Linked DNA regions of Neurospora crassa OR74A. The protein of the gene in region 2 interacts with the protein of the main gene of each other region in a pairwise test. Links are inferred from orthologs where the notes say so. Each region holds a gene or a part of one and is shown on either strand. Other genes may lie near its edges. The genes, in order: NCU00225, NCU03947, NCU03118 and NCU08030.

Region 1 (4,507 bases), on a different chromosome or scaffold from region 2:
ATCTAGAATCATCCATCGTGAGGTGAGAAAGCAACAGGAGACTTCGTCACTAGGTCTCTTGCAAATGGATTGTATGTATCACCACTTACTTAGATGATGTGCAAAGTCGGACCGAGCATAGAGTCTACCATAAGTTTCCACAGATTCTGGCTTGTCTGAGATATGAAAGCCAGGATGACTGGAGTTCTCCGGCAGTGTCACATCTTCGAAGCATATGAGGATGAGGGAGGGAACCTCGAGGTTGAGAATGTAACTTGGAGAGGATGGAGAGAGAGAAAGGTTGTAAGATTGAAGGTAGATATCGCTAGTGTTGTCATGGAAGTGAAATGTACATCAGGTCATGTCTTGTATGGTATGGCGGCTGTGATATGGATAAGTAATCATGGGGTTGTGATGGAGAGGGTGTTTTGCACAAGACAAGAAAGGGACACAAAAGAGTGGTCTGTTTACCTGGACCTAGGTCATAGTGAAGGGGTGGTTAGTAAGAACCGCCGAGTTCGGAGTTTGAAATGGAAATGAAAAGGTCTACTACAAGTACTTGTGTGTCAATATCATCGTCAGTGATTTTCCATCTTATTATGTGCCTATGGCGACCAGTCAGTTCAAGATCACGGTGCAGCAAGAACTTCACTTGTCCAGTGAGACATCGAAAAGTGCACTTAAACAGCCAACACAGTGTTGAGTACAAGTCACGGATCAGTGTCAGCTTGTTGTGCCTTTGCCAGAGGAATCCAAAACACTTGTTTTGATATTGCTGCTCTGCCTGATGCCTTTTGCCAGATGCCATATTGGGTGTTAATCCAAAACAAGCCTGTCTTATGTCCATTCTTACGACCTTGCCATGGTCGAGCTATGTCATAGTGCCACCTAGACTATAGCGTGTGTGTCTTTTTGCCCTCTGGATGGTTGCCATCCCATCCTTTGTCTGCGGTTTGAACCGGGTAAAAAGTGAAATATATCCTAGGTATAACGTTCATGCATGGAAGGAAAGGGGATAGATACGGGGAGGAACCAGGTCATACGAACGCGCGCAATTTCAACTTTCGAGCTTGAACAGTTTTACTTTGTTCGATTCCGCGGTAAGTGGTGGACAGATAAGGAAAACCTCTTTCACGGTTCCGGTGTTCATGAACCACTTTTCCGCTAAAGGTGAATGCAACCAAACAGACGAACACCGACCCCATGCTGGCTGCTTTTTTTATCCCAACCCGCCGCCATCCTGATTCTGACATTGCCGCCTCGAAGAGAAAATAAAGGGGGGGCCGTGTGACTGAATAGTCTGGCTTCGATGTATGGTCGTTATGCCGATATTGAGAGGCATTTAGTTGCCGAGGCTGGGGAAGGCAGACTCATCGTTGGGGTTGATGGGAGCAGCCTTGTTCTCGGCGCGGGGAGCACCGCCACGGGCAGCACCACGGGCAGCACCACGGGGAGCGCCACGGCCACGGCCGGCGTCACCACGGGGACCACCGCGGCCACCGCGGGCACCACCACGAGCGGGACGCTCGGGCTCGACGAAACGCTGGTCGATCTCGAGGACCTGCTTGACCTTGCGCTCACGCTCGCGCTGCTTCTTGCCGGCGGAGCCAGCAATGAACTCCTCGGTCTCATCCTTCTTGAGGGGCTTGGCGTTGGCCCACTTCTTGTCCTCAACGACACCCTCGTTGGCCTTGCGGACCTTGAGGGCGGCCTCGGCCTCGAGAGCGGCCTTCTTCTCGGCGAGCTGGGCAAGGTACTCAGAGTAGGAGACGTGCTTCTCCTCCTCCTCCTCGGGGATAGCCTCAGCGGCGGCCTCACCCTCGGTGGTGGCCTCCTTCTGCTCAGTCTTGGCGATCTCCTCGGCGGCCTGCTCATCCTTCAGCTCGGCCTGGCCCTCGGTGGCGCCCCAGGAAAGGGCAGCCTGCTTCTCGGATCCGCTAGTCAGGGTGTTAGTGGACGGAGGTGCCTGTGGCTAGAAATTGCTTGACCGGAACATACGAGGGGATGGACTTAGAGTGGCGGTCATCCGAGGTGTTACGGGGGTGACGGCCACCGCGACCACCGCGGACGCGGGCGTTAGCGCCGCCGCGGGGACCACGAGCAGCACCCTCCTCAGTGGGCTTGCCACGGTTGCGGTCGCTGCCGGCGTTGCGGTCGCGGAAAGCTGGGACCGAAAATGTCAGTTGAGAGGGTAGCCATGGTTAGCATGTTGGATGATCAACATACCGGCCTCGTTGCCGGTCAAGTTAGAGCGACGGCCAGAGCCCTGAGCGGGGGCCTTGCTGGGAGCGACGCCATCGGAGTTGCGCTTGGTGGTGTGGGTCGAGGTCTTCTCGACGATCTTAGCAGGGGCGGCGGGAGCGGTGTTATCCTCCACGTCGTTGCCTGAATGAAAACAATCGATCCGTCAGTATTGGTGGTTCCTTGGATTGCGGTGTTCAATGTTCCTCCTCGCCCTGCCAATTTCGAGTGTGCCGTCGCGTGGGTTCCGTAATTCACAGGAGGGTGGGCAACCAACCGAGCAGATCGAACAGGTTCTGTAGAAAAAGAATCGCAATCGGTTAGTTTCTTGCTGTCTTGAGCTCTAGATTTTCGCGGTATGGCCGGCTGCTGCTCGCTGTGCGTCTGGATCCCCATTCTCCAAGCCTCCCTCCTCTTTCGGATCCCAAATTGTCGCAAGGAGCCGGTGTTGGCGGACTCGCTCGGAAACAAAAATGAAGCTCTCAGTTTCATTTCACGGCGAGGTCCAACCACGGGGTCATCCATATCCGCTGCACAGCATGCAGCTCTCGGCCGACCGTGAAACCGGCCATTTCGGAGATTGACGGGGAGAGAGATAAACACACCTTGGAAGCGACCGACATCTTTGCGCTTGACAGGACGTTGGCCTGACTCAATGCGCTTCTTCTAGACGGGGTTGGGTAGGGGGGGCGGACGACAGCGACAACGACGTCTGATGCTCGCTGTGGTGTCGTAAAAGATTTTGGCAAATCGCTCCCGGGCCACAGGGAGCTCGGACCAGGTTTTGGCAGTGGCACGGATCACAGAGACGCTCGTGCCCCGCCCACCTGCACCAAATCTCCCCTCCAAGGCCCTGCTCTGGCCCTCTTTGCCGCTGTTCCCCGCTTCCAACTTTGACTGCCGTTTTGGCTTTTTGGTGAAATTTCAGTGCGCCGCTGTTATTGGTGGTTAGGGCTACCACTTTGCACGCTGCCTGCCCTTTGTTACCAATGTGACGTGCGTATCGATCCGTACACGCCGTAACTTTGCCTGTTTGAGCTCTGCTCCCAATCCGGCAAGTCTTGGCAGAGTGTTTGCAGCTGCGACGACAACCACTCACGACCATAGACATCATCGTCACCAAGGTAAACAAACCACTGGAAACACATCCGTCACAAACACCTGACGGAAGCTGCCGCTTTATATGCCAAGTTGACGCATTCCTGCTGAGGTGACAGCCTTCTATGAGATCGGACCTGCCTCAAGCACCCCGGACTTCCTGTCAACGGACTTCATGCCAAAAAGGCACGCATTGCCGTCGTGCTTTTAGACACCGGACGTCATGTCTTTCTTGGGGAAGTATTACCTTGGTTGCTGTGCTTGACGGCTTGCCAACAGGTGCTTGATCACGGCCACATTGGAGAGGTCATCACGGACCACTTGAGCAGTTTGATATGCAGCGTGGACCTTTCACCTTTTTTTTTCTTTTTCTTTCTGTTTTTTTTTTCCAACCCCTACTTCTATCTTACTTCCTTTCATTCAAGACTTCTCTGGAAAGTCTGCCATATGCCATGATGTAGAACAGTGTTGGAAGTTGTATAGGTTCTACGTGTCTGTTGAACCGCATCACCCTCAAATCACAGCGGCTCTGCATGCGTTTCCACAAGTGTGGTTCTGGATGGACTCACCCGTTGGTTTGCATCTGACAGTCATGGCAGAGAGTGGACGCTGTGGCGACGAAGCTCAAACAGCAACTATATTAGGACGAGTACCGTTCGCCAGTCGAAGCAGTTGCCAATGGATGTTGAATTCATGAATTGAAGCTCCCCTTTTTAACACACTTGTTTACTTCCTCGTGGCCCTTCGAGGCGGAGATGGACATACATCTGCAAAATACATAACCTTTACCACATTAGAGTCCTGTCCTCGCATCGAGAATGGAAGATAGCCATCAGCAAATGTCTCTTTGTTGTAGGTTAGTTAACCTGAGATATCGGTATCAACTAATCCAGTTATTGTACGGATAACAAGTCGCGGAGAGCCATTTCATCATGATCAATATGCAAGTCGACTTCCTTCTTTGTTGTGTAGCTCTGCAATTCCTTTCTCTCCTTTTCATCTGCCTTTTCAAGATTCTACTGCATTTCTCGTGTCTTGCTTTTCACCCAACATCGAGTCTTTCGTGTTAGTCATGGCAGATTGTTTGAAGTCAACTTACAGGCGTTGTATCAAACAGTGTGTCTCTGTGTTTCTTGACAACTAAGAATGTCTCCACGGCGTTGCCAGAGAAAGTTGGGCATGTACTGGA
Region 2 (4,561 bases):
CAATGTTCCTACCATTGGGGATTAGATCCTCCTCCGTGATTACGCCGAACCGCTCGTCTTCAGTAGAGAAGGTTGCGTCAAGAACGTCGGTGATGTCGTTATCCAGCATCCACTGCAGAGACCGATGGAAATCGGCATCCACACCCTCCATATCCGCCAAGCTGACAGCCTTTCCGAGAACCATCTTGTACAGAGCGCCAATGAAGAAGGCATCCAGGAATCGCCTGTGGAAAATAGCCAGACCCACGACCCGGCCAATGAACTTGAAATAGTTGAGATGCTCAGGGTTGATACCCGAGTGGGGGTTGATCTGGAGGGTGTAGTTATCGTGGGCCGAATACTCGAACAAGCAGTAGAATGGATTGAACATTTCGTGAGAAAGGAGGAAGAAGAACTCGCGCGACAGACCGCCGTAATCGAGGCCGTCCTCGCCGTCGAACTTGATCATCAATCGTTTCTTCAGGTCCGTCGCCGATTGCCTCGAAATCTCCGCAAACGAATCCTCGAAAATGTGCGATCTCCTGACCTTGATGTGACACTGTCCGGACATGATCCGCATAGCAGGCTGCGAACGGAAATAGATGAGCTTCCTCCTGAAGTCTCTCTTGTACTGCGGTACGTTCTGGTCGAGCGACGAAGGCAGACGAGGATCATCCCAGGTCGTTGTCTTGGTATTGTGATCCACGAAGTAGACGCGAGCCGTGTTGGTGAGCCGCATCTCCCAACCACTAGGCAGGGGACCGAGCTGGGACACCGGCTGTTGTTGAATGGTCCCGTTCGTGTTGTTCTGGCCACCGTACATGCGAATGTACTGCTGGCGTCGAGGGTCGACCCAGGTAGTAGTGCGCGTGTTGTGGTCGACAAAGTACGGCCTTCCTTCTGGGGTAAACCTCTGCTCCCAACCAGCAGGTAATTCACCGGTTCCGGGGGTTGTCGCCCCGGTATGCATCATAGTGGCAGCATTGGCGGTGGCGGCAGCTTGCTGCTGCTGTAGGGTGGGGGAATTGGCGCCAGTGCGGTCCTCGGGAAGTGTTCTGTTCTGATGCCGTTGACGCTCGACTTGAGTATTGGCTTCGGCGGTACGGTTTTCGGCCGCCCCTGTGCCAGTTGGCCGATTCCAGCTCGTGGTCCGTGAATTATGATCAACATAATATGTCCTCCCCAAATGATCCTCGCGACGTTCCCAGCCAGCTGGCAATCTTCCCATTGAATCTTCGAAGGGGCTAAGCGTGCTATGGTGCCTGGCTTGCGCCGGAACGAGGGTCGACGGGTTCGTTGGGGCTGTTCCATTTGTCCCGGGGGTCGGGGCTGTCGACGACGACGAAACAGCCAGGCTGGCGGGTCGGCTTGCCAAAGTCATGTTATTGGCGGTTCCATTAGGTCCGGACATGGCTGATGAAGGACGTTCGTTCGCTCTGTCGTTAGAAATAACCGAACTTTGAGGGGTGAGTAGTGATGGTCTGCTCGAAGATGGAGGGGGACCGAGGCGACTCATAGTTGCTGTGAGGTTAGTAGATAGGTTTATGATCAGTTTGCCGTGCACCACAAGGTTGTCGGTCGATTTCTTAAGGTCCCGCGTGAGCATCTGATCTGTGGGTGTGGTGCATGTCAGTCCCAAATCGCGCTGTCAACCTGCAAACACATGTGAATTGCAGTGAAACCTTACCTTCCGCATCGGGAGCCAATTCTATTACGTCCCCTATCCGGACATTGATGACACCGAGGAAACCTTGGTCCTTCTTTTTGAACTTCTTTTGGTCGAACACCTGGACAGCCAGAATGCTGTCCTCATTCACTTTGCTACGTTGTATTAGCCAGCTGGCCCTTGGGCTGTCAAATCTGAGTTAAGGTCGAACCTACAAATCAAAGTGTTCGTTCCAGTATGGGTTTAGGGTACGCTTGGAGACCTGGGTGGTCTTTGTCTGCTCACCGTTAATGGTAGCGACGGCGAACGGGTCGGGAAACCCTATGATGATGATGCGGTTAGCATATGCCACCTGGAAGTGGCTTAGAAGATGCATGACACCTGGCCACGGGGAGAAACATACTGAAGACATCTCGCTTGTATAGACCATCGGCGGCGATGACTAGAGGGGCATGTTAGTACACCGGTTGGTCATCGGACACATTCGTCGCAAAGGGGCTGAGTACTTGTTACGCGGAGATTGGGCTGGCTTTAATCGTGGTGGTTGTTAGCTGGCTGTTCTCTCGCTTATAATCCGCGGTCCCTGAGGGCGACGCAAAGCAGACAAGATGGGTAGATGGAGAGTCCAGTCGTGGGAGAACTTACGCCGGCAGCCCCGAGTCCCGGCTGCTGGTCATTGTTGCAGATGGAGCGCGTCAACAAACTCGCACGCGGGGCTTTAAGTTTTCGTCTCGTTTCTTGGACCAAGCAGAGGCTGGTCGCAATCGGGTCGGGTAGTCGGTCGCTCTCGCTCGTTTGGGATCGAGGACTCGCGGCTGAATGCAGGCGGGGCGGGGATGAAAGGAGGACAAGTCGACGATGGTACAAGCAGGCTGAATGATTGTTACAAAAGGGCCAACTCTCCTTGCGATGGACACTGACGTTGACGAGAACGCGCAGTCACTGGCAACGGAATGGATGCGGCAGGGTGGATGAAATTCTGTAGGTGGCAGTAGGTGGTAGATGGAAGCTAGAGGGACTCTTGAGCGCCCGTAGGTGGTGAGGCTGTGCTGCTCTTGGTAACTCGTGCGTGTGTGGCCAGCCGGCCCCCCCGCTTTGGGTATCTTACGCTGTCAGGTAGTCACGGCGGCGGAAGGCGAACTGCAAGGAAAGGCCAAGCAATCCAAGAGGCCAAGGTTGGACGGCTGTGGCTTGGTAATACTAAGTAATCTCTGTACTAGCAAGGTCGGCAAGGCAGGTCTGATACTTAGGAAACCACTTCTGTGGATCAACCAGCAGGTAGTGTAAACTCGCTCGGATGTCTAGGTTCGTCTGGTAAGGGTACCTTTAGTTAGTAGTGTCGAGGTTGAATGCTGTCGTTGTTTTGTCGCGGTGAAGCTGCTGGAAGTGGCGGGTGGGTGAGCTTGGGTTCGACGGACCAACCCCAAGAAGGTCCAGGTGAAGAGCTCAATGACCTTCACTAAGTTGCAACCGACGGATGAGCCAAAGGATGGGAGGGAAAACGACCGAGAAACCTGGACGTCTTGCGATGTTGCAAAGGTGCAATGGTGCAACGACCCAAGCCAAGAAATTGACAGTCCAAGTTGGATCTAGCATTGGTGAAGAGACAGGGGGAGGTGACAAGACATAATGGTTCAACAGCATTAACGGGAAAGTATGGCTGGCCTAGCATGCTCTGTGCGAGAAGCTTAACTTTTCAGTTAGTAGCTCAGGTATCGCATTAACGAGTGACTACTTTTAGGCCAGGAACTAGTTAGCAGAAGCCTGCAAAGAGCGAGAACTGAAGCGGAAGGTGCGCACAGTGCGGTACTTGACTTCTTCTCTTAAGCAGTTGGTCGGGTCATTCGAGTCCCAGACTCCCAGGGGGCCACATTCACTCCATGCTTGGCACGGCATCCAGATCTCGAGATCAACATCAACAACATCATTGGCACACAAAGAGCAACCTTGGTGTACATGGATCACATAGTCCCGTGTCTTTTCTTAGGAGTTGATGCCCTGTCAGGAAAATATCCCATGGATCACGGCTCAGTCATCGACACAGAGAATTAGAATAGGTAGCTATGCTGGCCTGAATGCCTTTCCATGACTAGGGGTAGGAAAGCACCTCCACCGACCGCCCCAAGCTCCGAGGTCTCTCCAGGAAACGCCAAGATTGTAGTAGAAGCTGTCTGTTCCAAAAACTCTACACAAGAGGTAGCCCAACGATCGGGGATGATGATGATCTTGCGCAGATCTACCAGATATCAAGCCACTACCGAACTTTGAAGAAACCTCCAGAGGCAGTCAATTAGGAAAGTGAACACTTCAAACCTCAACCTTGACAATTCAACGCACAGCACCTCTACATCCCATAACGACGATACACCGCACGGGGTGCAAAAAGGCGTTAGGTCGCTACTTAGCGTATCCCAGTACATGTAGTGTACCCCCGTTGCCGCCGACCGAGACGCTGCTGTTCCAACAATAGCGCATCACCGACATAAACGCCCGTCATTTCCATTTTGATACCCCTCGCGTGCGACGGAACTGCGGGGCGTTACTGCATCTCTGGATTTTCAATTGAGGTTTCTTTTTTTGTTGAGGTGCTTTTGACGATGGGGAGTTCATGGAAGCATAGAGGTACCCATCATATGTACACTAGGTTTGTACACTACACTAGTGGCTGTCATCATTGAACGAAGCGAGACAGCAAATGTGGAGCGCCCTTTGTTCGACACTTCTAAAAAGTGGTAGAGGTAATGCGCAATCCGCGTATAGCTCTTCTACCTAGGTAAGTACTCACTCTACTATACCTCAAAAACCAGCCTCTTTGAATTTCACCACAACCGCCTTCGGTCTTGTCGGAGCAAAGATGTCTTGCGCAGGTGTCTGTTGAGTTGTCATTTGCATGCCCTTTGTATATTGGAGTCGTTC
Region 3 (4,348 bases), on a different chromosome or scaffold from region 2:
GGCCATAGTCAAGTTCGGGAAATCTGTCGAGTTCCGGATTGGGATATCATCATCAACGGGATGTCAGTCGGGCCAGAGTCCAGGATCGGTAAGTGGGTGTAGTCGGGGTTCGTGGTCAGTTAAAGTGTGAGTGCGAGTGTGTGAATGGTGCGCGGTAGTGACTCGGGTGATGAGGTGTGAAGTTGTGTTACTGTCCGTTTGATGATGTCCAGAGGTCTTGAGGTCGCAGAGTGCTTAGGTATCCCTTTTTTCCCTTTTTTTTTTCCTTTTATTTTTTTTTCCGGTGGTTTTGCTCCTGTGTCTTTTCCAGCCAGTCCACGGTGCGGTAGAATCCTACAGTGTTCGACTGTGCGAAGAGTGCGTCAGTGTGTACAGAGCTGAAAGTAGGTAATGGGGATAGGATAAAGGTAGGTAGACGGTAGTATATGGAAGAAGTACATGAGAGAAAATTCCAACGCCGCAGATGATGCGTAGGATGGCCGATCTACATGGGAGGTAGGTAGTCTTGGGGGGGCACGTTACGGATAGCACCGCGAGTCGGCGACCCCTAACAAAGCGAGCCCCAAAAAAAGAACAATTTCATGATGGCTTCTTCTTCAACAAAAGGGCACGCGGATCCCTGAACTGACGGGCAACCATGACGGAATGTAGCTTAGTTCGGACTTTGCTCCGACTGCCGAGGGGATTCGCCATCCATGAGTGGTTGCTGTTGGTGGTGTTGCATCTCCACGGCTATCTCCTGGTGAAAACTGGCGGCGATCCTGTTGTGCAACCGCTTTTCCATACTAAGGAATCCAGTGGTCGGTCCAGTCCGTTCCACAGTCTACATAGTGAGCTGAGGTGGCGGGTGTGGAACGGGGGTCGTCGGGCCCGGGGAGGGGGAGGGGCAGCAGTTGTTGTTGGCAGGCTATGGCGGCTCGGACGGGTGGGCAAATACCCGGGGGAGACCGGAGATACAACTAAGGGAAGGACCAATGTGGAAAGTCAAAAAGGGAACCCTTACACTATAAATTCTTATAGGGTTTGCCAAGCAAGCCCGACCTACCTCTACCTACTCCCCGTTGGACTCGCTGGCCCGCACATGAGACATCCATGGACGAGTCGGCTGGCTGCCAGCAGAATCCATCTTGGGGTCCAGCGAGGGTGAGCCAGCCTTTCCAGGTCCTCGGAATCTCGGAAATCTCTTTTGGATTGTCCAGACTTCTCGTCCAAACTCCGGTCCAGAGTGCTGATGCAAACAGGCAAGCCGAGAAAGGGGTTGGTCGGCCGGGGGCTGCTCCGACGAAACTGCGAAAACAAGTCATGACTGCAAGGTGCTAAGATACTGCAGTGGGCAGCTTCGCTATATTCACACTGACAGTTGCCCAGACACCACCATCTCATGAGGTCCATCGGGCCAGGTGCCGTCCTACAGGGGCACCCATTGGTCAGCACTTCCTGGCATCTTCAAGTCCCGACCAATTTACATCCGCTCCGCCATCCACTCCATGATAAAGGGCCATTAACACATCATAACATGTCAATATAAAAGCCGATGACGGGAGTCGCGATATATGTTTAGACAGCGAGTGGGATTCTGCTTCACAGTTTGAGAACATGTGGTAGTAAGCATGAACATGATTACCTCTAGGGATTATTCGACGTAGGTATATCCTGTACCAAGGTACCTACCTCTCAAATGGAAATGCACGCTCACAAAAATAATATGGGGCCAATCCTCCAAGGGGCACTGGGGCTTCCCGTCCCTCCCCATTCTGCCAGCCTGGCGGGCCCTGTTTTCCCGCAGTGGCAGTGACTCAATCAACCCTGGCAGCCCATCCCGCAGGCCATGCCCGATCTCGCCCTGGCCCGTATAAAACAAATCTCTCCATTATCCATCTTCAACTTCCTCATTCCTTGTTTTCCATAATTCAACGTCCCCTTCACAAAATGGCCCCTACCGTTCTCCACCTCCGCAGCGAGACCAAGCATCTCGAGCACCGGTCTGCGCTCACCCCCACCACCACCGCCGAGCTCATCAAGGCTGGCTACATCGTCAACGTCGAGCGCTCCCCCGAGCGAATTTTCGACGATGAGGAGTTCGAGAAGGCTGGCGCCACTCTGGTGCCTGAGCACAGCTGGGTCGATGCTCCCAAGGAGCACATCATTGTTGGCCTGAAGGAGTTGGAGGAGAAGGATTTCCCTCTCAAGCACGTTCATGTTCAGTTCGCTCACTGCTGTAAGTTTTGCCACGTCCGGCACTTTTTTGGTGGCCAGGAGAATCATCGCTGACTCGAGACAACACAGACAAGCAGCAAGCCGGTTGGGAGAACGTTCTTGCCAGATTCCCCCGCGGTGGCGGCACTCTTCTTGACCTCGAGTTCTTGGTTGATGAGCACGGTCGCCGTGTGGCTGCTTTCGGCTTCCATGCTGGTTTCGCCGGTGCCGCCCTTGCCCTCGAGGTGTGGGCTTGGCAGCTCAACCACAGCGAGCCCTTCCCCGGCGTCGAGAGCTACCCCAACGAGGATGCTCTGATTGCCGACGTCAAGAAGGCTGTCAAGGAGGGTGTTGAGGCGGCCGGCCGTCTTCCCCGCGTGATCGTCATTGGTGCCCGTGGCCGTTGCGGCTCCGGTGCCGTCAGCGCTCTCAAGAAGGCCGGTATCCCCGATGAGAACATTCTCGACTGGGATATGGCCGAGACTGCGAAGGGCGGTCCTTTCAGTATGTTTTTGGAACCAGCACACCCCTAGGACTCACCAGATCTGGAACAAAAGTACTGACTACCATCACAGAGGAGATCACCGACAGCGACATTTTTGTCAACTGCATCTACCTCACCAGCAAGATTCCCAACTTTGGTATGTGTATTCCCCTTCCTTTCCCCCCCCTTTTTTTTCGGGGACAGCTTAAGTCACTACAAAGCCGAAAAATCGGTCTCACTCCCAGCCTGGCCCACATCCACATATTCCAGCCTCCAGCAACAAACAGCCTTCCCCTCACCAAAAAAAAACAAGAACCGGGAGCACCCTCACTAACAAAGTACCAGTGAACATGGAGTCCCTCCAGGTCCCCGACCGCCAGCTCCGCGTAGTCTGCGACGTCTCCGCCGACACCACCTCTCCCTTCACCCCGGTGCCCATCTACACGGTGGCCACGACCTTCGACAAGCCTACGGTTCCTGTCGACGGGCTGACCTCGGGTCCTCCTCTCTCCGTCATCTCCATCGACCACCTCCCCTCGCTTCTGCCGCGCGAGGCTTCCGAGGCCTTCAGCCATGATTTGCTTCCCTCGTTGCTTACGCTTAATGACTGGCAGAACTCGCCTGTCTGGGCGCGGGCGAAGCAGTTGTTTGATGAGAAGGTTGCTACTTTGCCGGAGAGTGCCCTCCAGAAGTAAAAGGCCTCTCTTGAAAAAGAAAAATGAGCACGGGCGGAGGAAAAGTACGGACTTGATCGCTTTTTGTGGGGGAAAATAAAAGGACGTATGCAGGGACCGATATTTTCAAAATAAAATGAAGCATAGAGAAAAAGGAGAACGGATGTGAAAGAAAAAGACACTGTACATGACAGAGACTAGAAGGAATAGCTCATGAAGATATGAACGGACGAACTAAATCGATAGATGTCGGCAGACGGCTTCATTCCTTAGAAAAAGGTAGAAGTAGAAAAGGGCAGTGTCGAGAGTAGACTTGGTCATTTCACTCAACTAGGGAGACTGTTCACGCAAGTATGAATATCACACACTTGGACATTGGGAATTTCCAAGCACTATTACTTTACGATGATAGTCTTCAAGAATACCTATGTCGGTTTTGTTGAACAATGCTTTTGAACATTTCGATAATCATACATTTTCCGGCCGGAAAATACCGCAAAATCATGATATTTATCTTCACAATTGTCGGGGCTCGAATTCTCTTCTGACTTCATAGAGTGGTACGGAGAACAGCGCGAACCATGCACATTCCACAATCATCACGCCACTGGCAAAAGTATCGAATATCATGGTTGTACACTATTGCAAAAGATGAATGTCAACAACTGACGATCGCATCCATGATCAAGTAGCCCCAGATGCAGATCACATACGGGGATGCGTCGATACACGAACCCGCAAAAAAACACACACACAAACACAAACGAGCACATGAATAATTCAGGAGACAAGCGAAAATTGTGTGTGATCCATCAACAAGTTCCTTTTAAATTCCGGGCAACGTCGCCTATCGACGTGCTCAAGCCTTCTCTTTTGCAGGCTGAATCTATCTGCGTTCTATATCGCACAACATCTTGATTCCGTGTGATCCCTCAAAAAGTTCCCATTCAACAATCCCATGATATCGCCACCGAACTCCATTGCAACCCGCATA
Region 4 (3,660 bases), on a different chromosome or scaffold from region 2:
ACCAAGCCCTTGGATGCGCTCAAGCTGAATGACAGGTTCTCACGGAATTGGCCCGACTCTGCTCCTCCACCACCCTTCTCATGATACACAGGCAGTGTGTATACTTTGAACATACCCTGGGGTTGCTCGTTTGCCTTGGGATCCGACCTTGAGGGCGGCGGTGGCGCGGCACCTAGCCTGGCAGGCAAGGGGATGAGCTCGACGACGCCGTCACAAAGAATTTCTATCCACCGGACCAGGCCTGAACTGCGAGGGAATAAGGACGTCGGGAAGGTAATGATTGCTGTGAGCTGGGTGCTGTACAGTCGAAGGAGAGCCCGGAGCCCATGTAGAAACTGTAGAACCTCTGATGGTTGGGCGCATCCAGGAGGATAGAGGGTTGGTGAGAGGAGACTGGGCACCACCAGTCTATGAATGGCGTTTGATCCTGAGCTCTCCAACTTGGCCCGCAATTGCTTGAGAAGCATCTTCAGAGGAGAAGCTGTCCCAACACTTTTCCGGTCTAAGCTCGGGGAACCGCCAACTGAAATCGGGTTCAGAGTACCCTTGGACTCGGAGCTGGCAAGCCTCTTGCTGAGATCAAAGGAGTGACAGAAAGGCGCTCCAGAATCCCCACGAGCAGAAGCTCCTGCATTGGCGTTGTTACCCAAGGACTCATATCTCCACGCAATCTTCATCTTCTCTTCGGGTGCCGGCGCCGGTGATGCACTCTTTGACTTCTTGTCAGGTGAAGCCAGCCCTGGAAGCTGATGCCTCCATTCTGGCGGAAAGGCTACTGCGTGAACCTGATGCCCTTGGACGAGACCCTCGGCAGCATAGTACCGTAGAAGAATTCCAGAGAAGTCGGTGGTCCCTTGCTCCTCAACCAGTAAGCATGTTCCTAAGGGGAGTCCACCGTGTCCTGCAAGAAGTTGGTCCAGGGAAGCAGTGCCAGTTGAAGTGGTCAACCTGCCATCAGTTGGTGATGGTCGAAGACCCGGCGCAAGCTGCGTTTCCTGTTTGGGTTGCTGCTGCTGGGGAGCGGACGGCGTGAGTCCGGCTCTCGGTGAGGATAGGACGGTGTTTCTTTTGACGAAGGACATAGTTCAGTCGGCAAGTTGCAGTCCTTATTTGAGTATCGAATCCAAACTTGATGATGTTGAGGTATGTATTCTTCAAGTCCAAATATAGTCGATTCGATCCCTGGAAGAAATTCCATGGAAGCTTGGACGTCACTGGAGTGCCTGAGAGCCCCGCTGTACTTTTGTCACACACTGGACGGGCGTGACAGGGATTTTCAATGGTGGTTGCCCCACTACTTGCCCCGGCATCCTGGTCCAATTGCCGCAAGGCTGGAATTTTTTGGGACGGCAACTGCATGGCGGCATCTCCATCGCTCAGTCGCATCTCCAAAAGTTTCCCCAAACACCATCATTACTACCGCTCGCGACAATTCGTTTTACCCACCTATCGACACGCGTTTGATACTCGACCAAAATCTGACACTAGTATCCTTCCGAGCAATCAATATCCAACATCGACTGTTTCATCGATTCCACACCAGCATTCACAATGTCCGCCCTCACGTCCGACGCCCAACTCTTCGAGGACGAGTTCAAGGTCGAGAGAATCAGCGATCCCAAGTACGACCGCGTCGACCGTCTGTACTGCACCTCCGTCGATGGCCAGACCAGCATGCAGCTCGATGTCAACAAGGAGCTCTTCCCTGTCAAGGTCGGCGAGTACCTTAGAATTGCATTGGCTACTTCCTTGTCCCTCGACGGTAGCAAGGACGACGAGAGGGGTTGGCGCGATGCTGCCAAGCTCGGTAGCGTTGAGCAGACCCTGGCCGACAGCTATGAGTATGTCTGCCATGGCAAGGTCTACAAGTTTGAGGATGGAAAGGATGGCCAGACCATGTAAGTTGTTGCCTGGGAATTGGGCAGGAGTATCTCGACCTTGGAATTCGGGGAAAATGAGTGGCTGACTGGTTCGGTTGCGAAATTTAGCAAGGCGTATATGTCCTACGGTGGTCTTCTGATGGCCCTCGATGGTCCCTACAAGAAGCTCACGCCCCTGCGTGTCGACTACGTCTACCTCCTCGCCAACAGGAACGCTTGAGAGCTGAAATTTCCGGAGAATAAAAAATTGAAAAAAAGCAAATGTTTCCAGCGGCTAAATAGCATCAGACCGATCAAGAGTCTAGGGCGCGAGCAACATTCATTGGATCTTTGGAGGGCGAACGGGCGTTTAAGGTTATGCGTGGACCAGAAAAGGCATATCCTAGGGAAAAGGGGTCTGGGGAAAGTAATGAATCAACGATACCCGGAAAGCAAGTACCTGTATTTATGCCGCTACCGAGCCAAGGGCTGTCCATCTGCCTTTGGAAGAGCTAGTGCCCTGCGGAAGGTGCTCGATGGATTCAGGCCTGATGAGGACCGGGAAAGGCGATGTGTCGATGAGCCCGGTCACGAAATGCGTCGTAATGCGGCTCGTTTTCAGGCGTGTAAATGCCGTGCCGAACGAAGAAATCGAGCATGACGACGGCACAGTTCGGCTTCCACATTCCCTGGGCGAGCTGTTTCTGGATCTCCTCCACTGTGCACAAGCTGAAGCTCTCGACCTCGCCGTCTTTTGGCTCGGGGACGACACTTCCATCCGCAGGTAGCTCTAGATCATAAATCCATTGGCATTCCGGGTAGATCAACCCCGCCTCGCCTCCCGCGCGCTCGTCCGTGATGTAGATATAAGTGATGGTGCAGACCTCTTTGGCGTTGTTCCTCACGATATGCTCGGACAGTGAAGCCTCTTCGTCCGCCTCACGGATGACGCATTCGAAGGGGTCTTCGTTGGTCATCAAGCCACCCGCTACCGCGTTGTCCAACATGCTCGGATAGGTCGATTTGGTCGCGGACCGCTTGGGAACCCAGATTCTCAAGTCATACTTGCTGCTGGCATCCTGACGTCTGATGAAGGCGTTCATATGCACGCCGTAGCGTGTGGTTCCAAAGAGGCCCATAGCTGCCCGCTCTATGCTGAACACGAGCTCCTTGTTGCGACCATAAACTGGCCACAGCTCGTTTCGCCAGCTCTTGAGGATGGCAAATGCCTCTTGTTCACGCCAAAGCGCAGTGAGCTTTCCGACAAGCCGAGTGCGTTCCTCGTAGGTTTTGTCCGGGGCATCACGGAAGAGCACTACAGTCCTATTAGAGACATCGATGTGCAACCCTAACTGTCCTTTGAGAGTTGCCGGGGCTTTGTTGAGTGCATCGACAACGTCCAGCTTCACGTAGCCTATGGGTACCTGACCCTGCTGGTCTTCCCAGACGAACGTGTAGAAAGACTTCATGATCTGGGCATAAGCCTCGGGATCCCGGTCCGCGTAAGGGAAGCTTGATTTTTAGAGATAATGTAAGCGCTCGTTCTGGTCATGTTCGGAATCCAGGTAGGCCTTAGATCCGTTCACTGAAGTTCCATCTAAGTTCCTGGGCGTGAACACAGAGGATTCGGTTTCACAGAAAAAAAATAAACAAATAAATACGTACGCATCGACTTTAGCCACCAAGTCGAGGGTGGACAACCGAGGAGTCATGGTTTGGCAACGGGTTCCCGAGACCTTGGATAATAGGGCGTGGTCACACGGGATCGAGTAATGCAAATGAAGCCGAAAGTCTGGATTTG

What was found.
Region 1: the proteins of NCU03947 (region 2) and NCU00225 interact in binary tests that used the Saccharomyces cerevisiae proteins (3 or more experiments, as listed by UniProt). The link is inferred for Neurospora crassa OR74A from reciprocal best matches to the Saccharomyces cerevisiae genes RSP5 and STM1.
Region 3: the proteins of NCU03947 (region 2) and NCU03118 interact in binary tests that used the Saccharomyces cerevisiae proteins (3 or more experiments, as listed by UniProt). The link is inferred for Neurospora crassa OR74A from reciprocal best matches to the Saccharomyces cerevisiae genes RSP5 and LYS1.
Region 4: the proteins of NCU03947 (region 2) and NCU08030 interact in binary tests that used the Saccharomyces cerevisiae proteins (3 or more experiments, as listed by UniProt). The link is inferred for Neurospora crassa OR74A from reciprocal best matches to the Saccharomyces cerevisiae genes RSP5 and RPB8.

What each region holds. Positions count from the first base shown.
Region 1 is NC_026503.1:3,075,063-3,079,569, reverse strand, and holds NCU00225 (hypothetical protein), read right to left. Parts: upstream 3,002-4,507; 5' UTR 2,844-3,001; coding exon 2,826-2,843; intron 2,517-2,825; coding exon 2,498-2,516; intron 2,365-2,497; coding exon 2,206-2,364; intron 2,144-2,205; coding exon 1,978-2,143; intron 1,917-1,977; coding exon 1,322-1,916; 3' UTR 542-1,321; downstream 1-541. UniProt on the Saccharomyces cerevisiae protein: Ribosome preservation factor that protect a small pool of nontranslating, vacant ribosomes in cells under nutrient starvation conditions.
Region 2 is NC_026506.1:2,205,670-2,210,230, reverse strand, and holds the start of NCU03947 (ubiquitin ligase), read right to left. Parts: upstream 3,158-4,561; 5' UTR 2,323-3,157; coding exon 2,291-2,322; intron 2,175-2,290; coding exon 2,152-2,174; intron 2,088-2,151; coding exon 2,049-2,087; intron 1,967-2,048; coding exon 1,861-1,966; intron 1,801-1,860; coding exon 1,667-1,800; intron 1,591-1,666; coding exon 1-1,590. UniProt on the Saccharomyces cerevisiae protein: E3 ubiquitin-protein ligase which accepts ubiquitin from an E2 ubiquitin-conjugating enzyme in the form of a thioester and then directly transfers the ubiquitin to targeted substrates.
Region 3 is NC_026501.1:4,623,892-4,628,239, reverse strand, and holds NCU03118 (hypothetical protein), read left to right. Parts: upstream 1-1,744; 5' UTR 1,745-1,929; coding exon 1,930-2,218; intron 2,219-2,286; coding exon 2,287-2,700; intron 2,701-2,771; coding exon 2,772-2,837; intron 2,838-3,025; coding exon 3,026-3,375; 3' UTR 3,376-3,799; downstream 3,800-4,348. Other genes in the region: NCU03120 (uncharacterized protein), read right to left, coding at 1-6. UniProt on the Saccharomyces cerevisiae protein: Catalyzes the NAD(+)-dependent cleavage of saccharopine to L-lysine and 2-oxoglutarate, the final step in the alpha-aminoadipate (AAA) pathway for lysine biosynthesis.
Region 4 is NC_026504.1:3,965,942-3,969,601, reverse strand, and holds NCU08030 (UDP-glucose 4-epimerase Gal10), read left to right. Parts: upstream 1-1,390; 5' UTR 1,391-1,551; coding exon 1,552-1,898; exon of another isoform or gene 1,899-1,988; coding exon 1,989-2,100; 3' UTR 2,101-2,401; downstream 2,402-3,660. Other genes in the region: NCU08031 (paxneb protein superfamily), read right to left, coding at 1-1,082; NCU08029 (thiamine pyrophosphokinase), read right to left, coding at 2,402-3,371, 3,525-3,571. UniProt on the Saccharomyces cerevisiae protein: DNA-dependent RNA polymerases catalyze the transcription. of DNA into RNA using the four ribonucleoside triphosphates as substrates.